Pelodiscus sinensis: one gene and its partner. The protein of the gene in region 2 binds, or shares a complex with, the protein of the main gene of each other region. Links are inferred from orthologs where the notes say so. Each region holds a gene or a part of one and is shown on either strand. Other genes may lie near its edges.

Evidence for each region. The genes of interacting proteins can lie anywhere in the genome.
Region 1: the proteins of TOMM5 (region 2) and VDAC2 are in contact, whole or in part, in a cryo-EM structure (PDB 9EII), measured with the Homo sapiens proteins. The link is inferred for Pelodiscus sinensis from reciprocal best matches to the Homo sapiens genes TOMM5 and VDAC2. Residues at the interface, in NP_001001790.1 of Homo sapiens: Ile25, Arg29, Leu32, Ile33, Ala36, Arg39, Val40, Phe43, Ile44, Lys47; in NP_001171752.1 of Homo sapiens: Val38, Thr60, Gly63, Asp239, Tyr258, Gln260, Thr261, Leu262, Leu268, Leu270, Val286, Leu288.

What each region holds. Positions count from the first base shown.
Region 1 is NC_134718.1:8,199,804-8,207,443, forward strand, and holds the start of VDAC2 (non-selective voltage-gated ion channel VDAC2), read left to right. Parts: upstream 1-4,544; 5' UTR 4,545-4,559; coding exon 4,560-4,671; intron 4,672-6,049; exon of another isoform or gene 6,050-6,831; intron 6,832-7,640. UniProt on the Homo sapiens protein: Non-selective voltage-gated ion channel that mediates the transport of anions and cations through the mitochondrion outer membrane and plasma membrane.
Region 2 is NC_134716.1:617,052-624,283, reverse strand, and holds TOMM5 (mitochondrial import receptor subunit TOM5 homolog), read left to right. Parts: upstream 1-5,087; 5' UTR 5,088-5,167; coding exon 5,168-5,288; intron 5,289-6,136; coding exon 6,137-6,171; 3' UTR 6,172-6,717; downstream 6,718-7,232.

The DNA.
Region 1 (7,640 bases), on a different chromosome or scaffold from region 2:
AGACTTTCCAATAGCCCCCTCTCTCACGCACACACACACACGCATGGCAGATGCATTCCTCCCTCTCTCTCTCTCTCTCACACACACACACGTATGTAGGTACATAATTTTCCTACAGACCAACAGCTTCATTCTCTACACAACCCTGAGTGGAGTTCCCTGCTGTGCACTGAATGACACAAGTGTCCCGTGGGGAAAATAGTGAGTATATAAAGACAGTCATAACGCAGCTCCACAAAGAACTGAATTAACCTCCATTCTGGCATTTCCTAATTTTTCCAGTGCTTGAGTCTGTAACCTTACTGTTCTTTTGAACTCAGGCTTTCTTAAGCAAAATACAGGACTATGTAGCACTTTAAAGACTAACAAGATGGTTTATTAGATGATGAGCTTTCATGGGCCAGACCCACTTCCTCAGATGAGTTTTGTCAACTGTACATGGTTGTGGTGCTGTTTGACTCTTCCCTCAAACATTTTAACTGACCTGCATTACCCCAAAGTGATGTAGAAATGAATAGTTTTATTTAGAAAAGACAATGGTTTTCCAAATGTTTTTTTTACCGGGTAAAACTTATCAGATAAATATATTTTAAGATCTCCTGTGTTTTCTGCCCCATACCTCGTGCCCCCCACACTGAGGCCCAGATCCTGGAAGGCAGTTAGACACCTACCTATCTTTGAGGAGCTGGAGCTTAGCCTCTACATGCCTTTGGCGCAATGCAGTAACAACCAGGGCAAGGGATCTGATTGCATCTTAGTTAATTGCTTGTCATGCTCCATCTTCCCTGTTGCTCCCTCGATTTGTAAATTATGCTGATTCCCACCAATGTGACTCTTTTATCAATGGGTAACTTACACCTCCATTGAGGTCACCACTGAATTTTGCCCCATGGACGAAATTCAGCCAAAGTGAAGACAACTCCACGGAGGGCAGTAGGTTAGCCCCTCTTTACACCATCGGGACTTTGGCCCTGGGATTGATCCAGTGTTGGAAATTGGAATTATTGTGTAAAGGGGTTTTCACGTTAAGCTGCATGCTGATATGGGTCAGAGTCAAAGTCGATTCTGGAGCCTTGCATATAATTGCCCTCCCATCTGGATGGAGCCATGTGTTGGTAACTATCGTGTTTATATGTTCACAACTATTAAAGTGTCACTTTCATTCTGTTTTAATATTGTTTAATCTGTAATAAAGTTTTGGTCTGGGAAATGATACTAAATGACATTGGAAACAAAGCTGCATGTGCTATGTAGACTTGCTTGGGAGACAGGGGACAGCTCGGTCCCAATCCCATGGGGTAACAGACATCACTTGACCCCTGGAGTATGGGACGGACTTTGCAGAAAGTCCTTCCACTTGTACATGGAAAGGCCCCAACTGGACATACCACTCAGAGTGAGGGGGTATCCCCTTCCAGAGGCTGTGGCCCTGCCTGCCCAAAATGAAAGATTTTTGAACAGTTAGCCAGGAGACTCTGCAGGGTGGGGAAATGGAGCTGCTAGTTAGTGGTTACTATCAGGGAAAAGCCCCTGGGTAACAGAGGCTCTTGGGGAGGCTGACTGCCGTTTGGAGGAGTCAGGCGGCACCGCAGCAATTGTAACTGAGGCGAGCAGCCTCTTTTCTGTTGGGAAACTGATGCCAGGACCCCTCCAGCAGCTTTGGACGGCTGTAAACAGTAAAAACAAACTTGTTCTTCATCCGGGACGTGATCCTCTCACGCCTGATTTCTCCAACACTGCTTCCAGTCATCGAACCCAGGAACTCACTGGGTCAGCGTCCGTCCTGTCATCCCTGGGCCCCAACCTTATCTCCGCGCAAGGCAGGAGTAACAGCACCAGCCAACTCGTTGCCCTCCACCTCCCGTCTTCAGTGATGGCCTTTGGGACCCTCAGGGGACCATTCTTGCCATTGCTGAGTTGAGGGATTTTGAGTCACACAGGGAGGAAATGGTTAATTATTGCTGCATTGTTGGACATTACTCATTTTTTCCCTGATTCTCCTGCTTTTGTCCCCATTTCCTGCCATTTCTCTCTCTCTCTCTCTCCTTCAGTCCTGCCTTTCTATAAATAAAACATTGTTTATTCCTATCAGTTGGTGCTTGATTTCCTGTACTTATAAATTGTATTGTCCTAGTGGTTACTTTGGCGTATCCAGGACTGTCAATCACTGTGTTACTCCTGCCTCAGCAAGACAGAGGCCTAGCTGGTGCTAAACTGGGTGTTAGCTCCCAGAAGCCCCGGATCAAACAAACACCTCCGCATTCTGCCTGCCTTTGCTTTGCCTGCGGCTTAATATTTGATGCCCTGTGGTTCCCGGGCTTCTCTAACAGTCCTCCTGTGGCATCCAGACAGCTAGGCTCTGTCTACACTGCAGCACTGTTTCAGGATACCGGAGGCATCCCGAAATAGCTATCCCGTGTCTTCACAGCAAGCCCGTTACTTCAAAATGTAATGGGCTCACTATTCCGTCGTCCCTGTAACCCTCATCCCGCGAGGAGTAAGGGATGTTTCAGGACAGCGGGTTATTTGAAAATTTGGTGCTGTGTGGATAGTGTCAAATGACGAAATAAGCTATTTCAAAATAAGATGGAAGTAAGATACACAATTTGAGCTACACAAATTGCGTATGTTATTTTGACCTAAGGTGCAGTGTAGACGTATCCCCATTGGACACGCACAGTACCTGACAGCTTCACTAATCCCAAGGAAACAGGATACACACAGCTTGACTAGTACAACTCATGGTCAGTCCTTTATACTATTCCACCATGGATTTATAGGGAATGAATTGTACATTTCCTTTCAATTTTTCTTATATACCTAGTATTCCTCACTCACTATCAGGGACTTAAACCTATTAATAAAAAGAGCCACAACCTCCGTCTTCACAGATCTGCATGCAAGTTTCATTAGAGGCTCCAGTCTAGGAGGTGTGTACAGCAATGTCTTCTCCAGTCTTTTCCATCCATGTGTGGATTTTTTCTATCCACATGCAGAATATTTTTTTATATGCACCGAGGCATTGGTGAACGTGCACCACCAGTGGAGACAAAAATACGAGCTATGGGTACAGGCATGCCCTGATGTAAAAGACATTCACAACAATGCAACTGAATCATATAAACATGCAAGAGATGGCCTGCAAAACCTCATTTTTCACCTGAGAATACCACGGGATTTGGGGACAGCCCTTTCCAACTTCCTTAGATTGCAGTGCCTCAATCCTACAAATACTTAAGCCCAGGTGTGACTCTACTCCTGAGAGTAATCTCATCAAAATCAATAAAACTCATGAGTAAAATTACACGCCTCAGTGTTTGTAAGGGCCAGCATTCCCCTGTAGCCTTTCCGGTGGAAACCACTGGCTAGCAAGAGAGTAAGTGTAGTAGCTGGGTGGGTAGCTGGGATGAACGTAGTCAAGGGAATGCCATTCTTTCAAATACTACTCCAAGTAGGAGAGCCACCTCCAGATGAACCCTTACAGGCCCTTAGCATTGCACGAAGTAGGGCAAGACTTGCTGAAGTAGCAATCCCTTTAAAGCAGCACCTAGTACAGACATATACTAGGGAAAAGGATGTTTTAACCCATCATAATCAGTGACCATACCTAGAAAATAGAAAATACCTCCTGCCATGCCAGGAACTTTATGAAGGACTTGACTTAGTAGCCTAGAAGTTTCTCTCTCTTTCTGTGGCCCTTCTCTGGATAGCTGTACAGAGGTCTCACCTCCTCACAGTGTCCTCAAGTCACCTATTTTTCCTCATTTGTTAACTGGAGGATATTGTCCAGTACTTCGGTCTTAAATGTTAGTTGCACCTCAGTCCATTAGCAAGTCTACCTGATATAAATCTGACTGCTCTCTGACGTGCACTTGGATCTGCAGGCACCAAAAATAAATAGCTTCTGAACAGTAAATGTAATCAAAGAAACAGTAACAGATTATGAGAAGTGTGATCCCAAGCCTGGAAATCAATCCCAAATTTCAGTCATATCCTTTCATGCTGATCCCTCACTGTGGCCTGAGGGAAGCTTCTTTAGCTCCCTCCTTCAGTTTGCCCTATCTGTAAAATGGGACTAATAGTATCTCATGAGGGTGATGTGAGGTTTAATTAGTGAACAGTTGCAAAGCACTGAGTACAATTAGTGCTGTATAGAACTCAGGCAGAAATGAGACCCAGCAAAACTCGAGCACAACAGAGGTTAACACTTTTACTAACTACTATTTCAGGTGCAAACTGTTCTGCACATTTGTTTACATCTCTCAGATGTCATTACTCCCATTTCAATGAATTAGGGACACGGGGCTCTTTTTCTGAACCAGCTTTCCTATGAGCGTTAGATTGGCAAGGACATTTAGTAAGTTGAATGTTCTTAGCTTGTGTTTTTAACAGAACCTCTTATGCCCTATTAAAGCAGAAAACTCAAAGGACCCCTCCCCTAAAAGGCTCTAAAATAGCTCCTCCTATAAGGGCTAAAGTCCCATTCATTTAGCCACCCTTGAGCCTTAGTAAAACAGAGTGTATAGCAGGAAGTTAAAGCATAGCAGCAGTGTTTGCTTATGGACTCGTTCCTTGAGGCACAAGGGGAAACCTCCAGGGAGATGGAAATCCCACCAAAGAGAAAAAAGAAGAGAAAGCATTCAGCCAGCAAAGAAAAACACAAATGTGCGAGTAAGTACAAGTTTAATCATGCGCCCTAGGTTGGCTGCTATCCCCTTCCCTTAGATCCTTAATTTTCTCTCTTGCAATTGAATTCTCTCCCCCCCCCCCCCAACTTTTATTTTCTTGTTATGAAAGAATAAGGAGCTTTGGGATTGACTATGTATGAGTGAATAATTGGGAACTTGCAGCCACCACCTGCAGAGATGCCCTTTATAAAGCCAAGTACAACCAGAGGGAGTTCAGTGTCCTTTACTCCAGTGATCCTATAGACTAGAGAGAAGGGCACCTAGACTTCCCCCCCCAGCTCAGGACTGCAGACTTTCAAAGTGTTCCAGGCCTACCATTGGCATGACTGTGAGCATAGCCATTTCCTACATGTGCATTTGTGCACATTCAACTAGTGCAATGCCTGTGTGGATGTTCTGCTTTAGTTTTAAGAGTGACTTCTTTTGGTTTATTTCAATCCTGTTCCTAACTGGCTTAACTAGAAAGAAGCCTGGAATAAGAACGTTTGCACCAATGTCTTGAAATTGGTTTAAAATCACACTGCAAGTTAAATGGGGACAATTCAATGTGTGGGCAAGTCCTTGGCAGAGTTCTGGCAGTTGCTGTATTGTTAGGGGAGGGGATTTGGCATTCTTTGCTCCCCAGGTGGGGAACTTAAGGCCTGGCGGCTAGATGCAGCCCTGGGCTTACCTGGATCCAGATCCCGAGGTTCAGGGTCTGCCCCCAGCACTGGGGAGCCCACATGGGCGCTCCAGCCACTCTGCAGCCCCATTGCAGGGCTGGAGCACACAAAATCTACTAGGCTGGGCCCCCCAGGCTCTGGTGTACCAGGAGAATGTGGGGAAGCATCTTTCTCCATCTCAGTCAGGGGCCACACCAGTGAGGGTCTGGTGGGGTTTTTTTTTTTTTTTGCTTCTTACCTGTGTGCGGGCCCCGACTGATTTGTGTGTGGGTCAGTGGTCTCTGACCCAAAAAAGGTTCCCCACCCCTGCTGTATATGTTGTGCTCAACTCTTCATGTCCTGGGTTTCTAACATTCGATAACTGGTATCTGCAGAGTCCTTGCCTTTTTTTTTTTTTTTTAGCTTTGATCCATACAAAATGGTGATGGTTAAGGAATGTAGGCTGGAGGAACTGGCTGGCTGGCACAGATAGTGGAGGAAAGCTAATATAGAGAAGAGAATAGGGGTGGGGTTTTGACAGTGGCTCAGACTCTGAGAAAACAGAGTTATGAAGCCAAAAGAAGTTGCCTATCACAGTAACCTTTGCTTTCCAAATATACTGAGTTCCACAGTAACCCTCCTGCCCCAATATTCTGAAAACTTAAAGGATGCATCTGTAGCTAGAGAGAAACTGAGGGATGGATGCATGGGTTTTTATACCGTTAACAAAATCCTGACACAAAACCGGAAGGGTGCAGTCTTGCTTCAGCTTTGGTCTTTATGTTGATTCATCACTGTTTCTGCAGGATGGGACGGTTGTTTCTTACATTCTCTGATTTCTAAAAATAAAACCAATCAATTTTTTTTAAAAAAAGAAGCATGGTTGCTGGTATATGGAACAGAGATTTGTTCTTAACTATTTTTTGGTTTAAGTAGTGGACTTGTGGCTTTAAATAATGCAGTGTGGCATAAATTGTATAAGTTCATTTTGTATTCGACAAGACATCTCTTTTCTAGTGAATGTTCCAATCCACTAATTTCCTCCTCCTATCCCTCTTCCTGTCTCCCCAGTTGCCATTCATTCCTTTCTCCTGTGCATTTGGTATTAACACACTAATACGTTTTCTCATGTCCAGTACTCATCATCTTCATTTAAATGTATTAGCTTGTTAGGTCCTCCAGAATGTATGTATTTATGCTGGACCTGAAAACTATTCAGTTCACCTCTGCATATCATTTATAAAAACAAAAATATGCTGGACCTGCTGGCTCAACAGCTGCTCTGTTTTCCACAATCCACCTTTACTGCCCTATATTCTGATAAATTATATTATCATATAGTGTATTGATTATACTCTCTTGTGGAACCTAATTTTAAATGAAAGAGGCAATACTATTAGAGGGGACTAAAAACCTTAGAACAAGCTGTGCCATACACAGTTCCTTGGCCGAGCGAAAATATTGTATTGGTGACTAAGCAGTTTCTAGTATCAGAGGGGTAGCCGTGTTAGTCTGAATCTGCAAAAGCGACGAGGAGTCCTGTGGCACCTTATAGACTAACTGAAGTGTAGGAGCATAAGCTTTCGTGGGCAAAGACCCACACATGCATCTGACGAAGTGGGTCTTTGCCCACGAAAGCTTATGCTCCTACACTTCAGTTAGTCTATAAGGTGCCACAGGACTCCTCGTCGCTTAAGCAGTTTCTGTGGTGGGATTTGTCATAAGGCATGATTACAGAGACTGGTGCAAACCAGTCATGTGACACTCAGTCTAGCCTTGCTTTCCATTCTTAGAAAAGGATCACCCCAGGGACCAGGACCACTGTAGCAGGGAAGGAGGGCAGCCCGGGATGGTTTCAGTGGGGAGTTAGGGAGGTGTGCAGTGCACAAAAAGGCTTTGGCAGCTGTGGTGAGGAGAACTTGTGCACCGGGGCAGTGGACATGAAAGGGTGGCAATGAGGGATACAAGTACAATCCTTGAGGCACATGTAAGTTTTAGCTGCCTAGTGGTACCTCTTATGTTGCTACCAGAGGCAGAATTTAGGAAAGCACCATAAAACACACTGGCTGCGTCTAGATTGGCATGATTTTCCGGAAATGCTTTTAACGGAAAAGTTTTCCGTTAAAAGCATTTTCGGAACAGAGTGTCTAGATTGGCATGGCCGCTTTTCCGTAAAAGCACTTTTTGCGGAAAAGCGTCCGTGCCAATCTAGACACGCTTTTCCGCAAAAAAAGCCCCGATCGCCATTTTCGCAATTGGGGCTTTTTTGCGGAAAACAAATCTGAGCTGTTTACACTGGCCCTTTTGCTCA
Region 2 (7,232 bases):
CGCTGGTCTGACCCAGCCGGGCCGTTCTTACACCAGTCTGCGCAGCTCTAGGGATCGGCCGTGCCGAATCCCCAGGGGTCGCAGCCCCACGAAGCGGCTACTTTCCCATCTGCTGTGGCTGGGCGGCTGTGAAAAGGCACAAGGACTTGCCCCGGCACAGAGTGATGAGTCTCCCTGCGGAAAAGCTCCAGGGGCCCTGCCCGTCGTGCACTTCGACCTCGCCCCCGCACGGCTGTCTCTGCTGAACACCGCAATCCAAGCCCAAAGGGGTCAGATGGCCAGCCCCCACCGAGCGGTCCCTGTGCTCTTGCCCGTGGGCTGCCGAGCTGTGGGAGGGGGCTTGCATTCCAATGGGAGCACGGGCTCCTCCCGGAGAGGAGAAAGGTCTTGCTTATCCAGAAACGTGCCAGGGCTCCAGCTCACACGTGCATGCCCTCCCTGGCTGTGCTCCGGCACCACAAGTCGCTGTCTTTTGTAGTGGCCGTGCTACACTGCAAGGAGGCACCAGGGACAGACCAGGAGAATCAGGGGGTAGCCTGTGCTTGTCTTACTCATTCGCAGCAAGGACTCTGGCTACCAAGTCTTGCAACCAGAGAGCCCGTGGACATCCCTGAGATGGAAGCACTCGCCACAGTCTTCACAGTGGTCCACTGGACATGACCCTAGAATCTAACTCAAGACACCTGAGTTCCAGGCACAGCTCTGCCACTGACCTGCTGGATGTCCTTGGTCAAGTCACTTCTCGGCATTAGTTTTCCCGGTTGCAAATTGAGCTTTGAGATATGCTGGTGTCAGTATTTCCAGTCAGATGCTGCCCTAAATCTTACTGCAGCCACTACAAAGGACGTAGCCTGTTGTTTATTTCAGGCGCTTTCTACAACAACATGTTCTATAAATTAATATATGTGGCTGTGGGTATTGGTTTAAAAATGGATTAGGACCCACAGAGGCTATAAACGGCATGATTTCAATTCAGCACTGAAGCAGACGCAACTCCTATTGAAGTCATTGGGAGCAGCACCTTCATTAGTGCTAAAACTGATCCATACTTCAGCATTTGCACCGTGGTATCAGTAGTGCTGCTTGTCTAGCAAAGAAATGGCCACAAAGTGCACTTTGGGGACGGCCCTGGGAACAGAGCACTTTGTGACATGAGAGCCTATTTCCTCTAGCAACAAACTCAATTACAACAACATTTTAGATTAAATTAGACACAAAAGAAAAAAATCCCAGGAATCTCTCCTCCCTCCGCCCAGCTTACACAGGAACCGTTCAGGGATCAGAGATGGGCAGGCAATGTAAGATCCTTCTTTATTCATTGGAGGTGGGGAAAATCCGCAGCCTTGAATTGCAGCTTTTCAGCACGACCGTAACCGTCTTTCACCAATCTTACCTAAGAGGGAGAGCCAAGAGAGCTCCCTAGAACTGGATTCCACTTGGCCGTGTTGCAAGGAACCTACGGGCCCATCCTCTGCAAGACATTTGCTTGTGCAGTTAGCCTACTGTAGCATAAGGCTTTGAGGTGTGTGAGCTCTGGCACAGATACATGGCTCAGCTGTTCCCTTGCCTCTGGGAAGAGCATGCTTACGGGGGCACTTTGTCCACAGTGATCCCAGGGACACCGAATGGATTCCAGGCGTGGACATTTCAGGGTAGATTGCTGACAGATGTTTAACTATGAAATGTACGTATGTGGTAATGAGTGAAACCCCTTCCTCTGCTAACCTGGGGTAAAAGGCAGCCCAGCGCTTTTAGGATGAGGGAGTTGGCTACAGACAAGGGACATTTGAGTGAATATTCATGACAGCCTAGAGCCTGTGCTAGGCCAGATTGCCATGTGCAGGGGGCCATTGTGCAGTGATTTGGGTCTAGACCGTTGGACTCATTGGCATGCAGGGGCGGAGCAGGTTCTTGGTGTACTGCCACTTATTCTCGAAGGAAGGGGCTGAGCGTCTGGGTGAGGAATGGTACCAGACATCATTTTAACTTGGCATTTTTGCTCTTCTTCTGTGACTTGGTGCTTTTGTGTCTTTTCTAATTGTGTTAATAAAAGTTGTTAAAACTTTGCTGGGCCCTCAGTGTGTCTTCTTGTGCACATTGGAGTCGACACCCAGCTACTGAACTGGACGACACTCGGTTTTGGTGTGCCCAATTCTTGAACTAAAATCCAACAGTCTCCCAGCTCTTTATATTAGTACTAACTGGAAATCAATCATCTATAACCACTAAAGGACTGGGCTACAAAGGGAATCAAATAGCAGTACCACTAGCTGCTATGCATCGCTTTTCATCAGTAGACCTCAAAGCATTTCAAAGAGGAGGTATCATTATCCCTACTTTCCAGACGGGGAAACTGAGGGTGGGACAGGCAAAGTGCTTTGTCCAGGGTTGCCCATCAGGTTAGTGGCAGAGCTGGGAAGAGACCCCAGGCCTCCTGTGTGCCAATCATAGAATCATAGAATCATAGAATAATAGGACTGGAAGGGACCTCGAGAGGTCATCGAGTCCAGCCCCCCGCCCTCAAGGCAGGATCAAGCTCCGTCTACACCATCCCTGACAGATGTCTATCTAACCTGTTCTTAAATATCTCCAGAGAGGGAGATTCCACCACCTCCCTTGGCAATTTATTCCAATATTTGACCACCCTGACAGTTAGGAATTTTTTCCTAATGTCCAATCTAAACCTCCCCTGCTGCACTTTAAGCCCATTACTCCTTGTCCTGTCCTCAGAAACCAAGAGGAACAAATTTTCTCCTTCCTCCTTGTGACACCCTTTTAGATATTTGAAAACCGCTATCATGTCCCCCCTTAATCTTCTTTTTTCCAAACTAAACAAGCCCAGTTCATGAAGCCTGGCTTCATAGGTCATGTTCTCTAAACCTTTAATCATTCTTGTCGCTCTTCTCTGTACCCTTTCCAATTTCTCCACATCTTTCTTGAAATGTGGCGCCCAGAACTGGACACAGTACTCCAGCTGAGGCCAATCTAGTGCTCTGACCACTAGGCCGTAAAAAAGCATAAGGAGGTTAAAAGTGAAATGCTGAAATCCCACTGAGACCCCATTGGCAGGCTGTATGCCCGCTCCCCAGACAACTCCATGCCACGCTGACCATGCTTCCAATGAAGCCGAAGAAGCAGCCCCCTCTGAGTATGATCTGATGCATCCGCTGGAGAAGTGATATGTTCCCCGAACTCCCTGGGGGTCAGCGTTCTGCCTCTGCAGCATCCCAGGCCCTGCCAGGCGGAGGAGTGAGAATGAATAATAGATAACAACTAATTGCACCGGTGTGAACCTGCAGCTGCATTTGCTCTCTGGGCTCTGTGGAAATTGCTGATATCATAAGCAATGAGAATGCTGCTTGAGCCCCCGCGGTGAATTACTGCCTTGAATCCACTCCAGAGCTGACTGTGGTCCTCCGCGGGATGGAACACAGAGCTAATTGGAACAAAGGAGCCACCACCCATATTGATTTCCTCTTTAGGATGAAGATGGATATTGGATTTAGTACGACAGCACGGCTGCTGTTAGGCCAGACCCCACACATGACAAACGCCTGATGGATCCTGCCAGTGCACCCCTCAAAGACAGGCTGCCTTGCGGAGGTAACAGCCAGGTCCTCTGCCCCGCTGCACAGCCCGGCCATACAGTCCAGGCCCTGCTGGCTGGAGACCCTGGAGCGGGTGTTGGGACCCACATTCTGACAGCTAGAGGAGTGGTGACAAGGCTCACCAAGTAATATGTTGGAGCCCACTTGGTAACGGAGCTGGCCAGTGTCGTGCGCCTGTTTTCCCTCTGGTACTGTTCTGCCTCTTTTATTCATCTTCTAGTTTATATTGTCATGATTCCTGGGGGCGGGGACCCAGGTTTGTAACGGATGCCACTGCCGCCTGCCCTTAGCATGGGGAGCCTTGTCTGGACCTGCCGGGAGCCAGCTCCCCATCTCCACTGGCCATGAGCAACACAAGCCCTGCTCTCGAGGCCTTGCAGGCCCTGTTGCTACGCTGCAGGCTAACAAGAGGCCTGCTCCAGCCCTCAGGCGTCTCCTGGAGCATCCATCCTCCGGCCCACTGGACACCTGCCTCATTCACAGATTTGCTGCCCCCAGAGAAACAGGGCACCCAGCCTACCTGAGCTCATGGCCCCACGCCAGGTAGGACCCACACTGAAAAGGGATGGAAGACAAAGATGCCCTGTCACCTGCGGGAGAACACTCCTCCCATGCTCAAAGGAACCCCGCACCTCCAAGGACAAGCGTGGCGGTTCCATTCATGACTGCGCTCGGCACAACACGTCGTGGTCTGAACGAAGTCACTGGACTTGCGGCTCACTGCGCCAAGCGGCAACACACCAGCCTCTCGTTTGCTGCCCTACTGACAATTCACCGACATTTTGGCTCTGGTGCAAGTCTCCATCCCAGACAATTATTAAGTCAGGGTTGGCTATTCTTCTAGAGCTCTGCTCGGGGAATTAGTGCGGGGCTGTGCTCTGCAGGTCAGCCTAGGCGATCGCAGTGGTCCCTTCGGGCCTTGGCCCTACCAGTAACCCAAAAGAGCCCGTTTGAGGTTGCGTCCCCATTCTCCTGGCTAGGTGCACAGCTGGGTAGCGCAGGCTGGCAACACGGGGCCTTGGCGCTGCAGTGCAGCTGCCAACCCCTGGCGCGGCGAGTCGGCCACGCTGCAGGCGGCACCGTCGGGGCCAGGTGGAGCATCTCGACGCCTCCCGCTGGCACCGCTGCTGGGGGCCTCCCCGCTCGCTGCCACCATGCATGCATCCCGGCCCGCAGCCCTGCCCCCTGGCCCCCCGCCTGCCTCCCGCCCTGCCGAAAATGGGGGCAGACGAGGGGAGGGGGCGGGGCCTCGGGGAAAGGGCGGGGCAAGGGGTACGGTTCGTGCCTGCAACCTCCCCCCCGCCAGGTGGCGCCAGCGCTGCCGACTCTACGCTCTGAGCCCGGCCCCGCGCAGCTATGGGCAGCGGCGTCACGGCGGCTAACGCGCATGCGCAACGCCGCTCCGTTATCACGTGACCCAGTGCCCTGCGCAGCCCCGCGGGGAGGGGCGGGGCCTGAGGCCGCATGTCCCGGCCGAGGAGCCGTAGCAGTGGGCGGGGCCACAGCGCGCGCCGCCCCGCAGAGCGACCCGGCCGCGGCCCGAGCAGCCCGGCGCCGCCATGTTCCGCATCGAGGGGCTGGGGCCCAAGATGGACCCGGAGGAGCTGAAGCGGAAGATGCGGCAGGATGTTCTCAGCTCGGTCCGCACCTTCCTCCTCTACGTGGCGCTGCTGCGCGTCAGTGAGTCACGTGGGAGCGCCCCCCCCCGCCGCGAGCCGCGCCCCCCTCCCCCCCACGTGGGAGCGCCCCCCCGCCGCGAGCCGCGCCCCCCACCCCCACGTGGGAGCGCCCCCCCCGCCGCGAGCCGCGCCCCCCTCCCCCCACGTGGGAGCCCCCCCGCGAGCCGCGCCCCCCTCCCCCCACGTGGGAGCCCCCCCGCGAGCCGCGCCCCCCTCCCCCCACGTGGGAGCCCCCCTCCCCCCACGTGGGAGCCCCCCCGCGAGCCGCGCCCCCCTCCCCCCACGTGGGAGCCCCCCTCCCCCCACGTGGGAGCCCCCCCGCGAGCCGCGCCCCCCTCCCCCCCACGTGGGAGCCCCCCTCCCCCCACGTGGGAGCCCCCCCGCGAGCCGCGCCCTCCTCCCCCCCACGTGGGAGCGCCCCCCCCCCGCCGCGAGCCGCGCTCCCCTCCCCCCACGTGGGAGCGCCCCCCCCCCCCCGCCGCGAGCCGCGCCCCCCATTCAGACCCTTTGTGCTGTACACAAGATCTAAGCCTCACTTCCCTGGCACTAGACAGATCTCAATGTATAGCGTAAAACGCAAGCAATGTCCTCCTCGCTTCCAAGCCTCCTTCATACACCGCAAGATGCCAAGTGCGGGTGCGTGGGCACCTTTTTTCCCTTCTCTGCAGGTCACCTTTCAAGATCGTGCTTCAGTGTTCTTGCTAATGTGTTCAGGTTCATGACTTACTCAGTGAGAGTTCATCCATTTGTTCACAAACAGCAAGTTTAGTTTTCCTTGTGTGATAGGCAGAGCAAACCATAATCCCGTGTAACTGAACATCTATATCTTGGTTGTATGTTCTTTTTCAGCTCCATACATCTTAAAGAAGTTGGATAGTATATGAATGCAGAAGAGCCGCAAAGGCTGGGTACATGGAAATGCAAAAAGGACTGGCTGCTTTTCTTGGTTAACAAACAAGATGCAAAAGGCAGACTGCACATAAAAGAATGGATCTAAACACTTCATTTAAGCATATTTGACTTCGAGAGAGCAGCAGCCTAGCTGGAAGTGTGGAAGCTGGTTATTGTCCTTGTGATTGAGTTCAAGTCATGTAATACTTCCGCGTGGCTGCATGTCTCTTATTTGTGCTGGTACAGCCTTTGTCTGGTGTCCAGAAATTACATCATACTCCATTCATGTAAGAAGTATTAAGTGCAAACACATTTCTTTGTTCTGGAGCTACCTCTAAAATACCACAGTGCTATGGCTGTCAATCTTACTGAACTTGTCTCAGTGTGAAAAATGAAGTTATTTGGGTCCCTAATCTCCATCTAGAAAGCTGTTAACTTGAATCCAGTTCTGACTTATTTTTGTTGAAATAAAATGGTGATTCTGTGATTTCAGGCACGATTCTATTGCTTTATTTTTAATAAATCTGATTATAGTTGAAGGCTCATGGGTTCTTTTTATTCCCACCCCCCACTAAAGCTGATCAGTCCCAAAAGGCTTTCTGCTTATGGAGTTGGGCTGTGTGGGGATTGGGGAAAGCAGAGGCGATGGGAAGGATAAGGAAAGGCAATGCTTGTATCTTTGGAGGAGGCTGGGTCCTGAAATGTTTATAGTCAACAGATGAGACATAGATGGAGAAATAGTTTCACAAAGGACATCTATGTAGCTCCCTCCTGGAGCACTATGGTCCCCTGATATGATAGAGTCCATTTGCTCCTCCCTCCCATGTAACTCTCATTCCAGGGCCCTTCTTTCTGCTCTTGGGTTGATGGCTGGTGTCAGGCCCTGGATTACTGGTCAAAGAGCAGAACTGGATTCTCAGTACACCCTGCCTCTGCCTAGTGGAGAGAAGAATTACCATGTGCCACCTCTAGGTTATTGCAAATCAGGGCTAGCTGCATTTTAAAAGGAACTAACACAAGCCTGAAGTCATTTGCCTCAGTTCCTTTACAGACC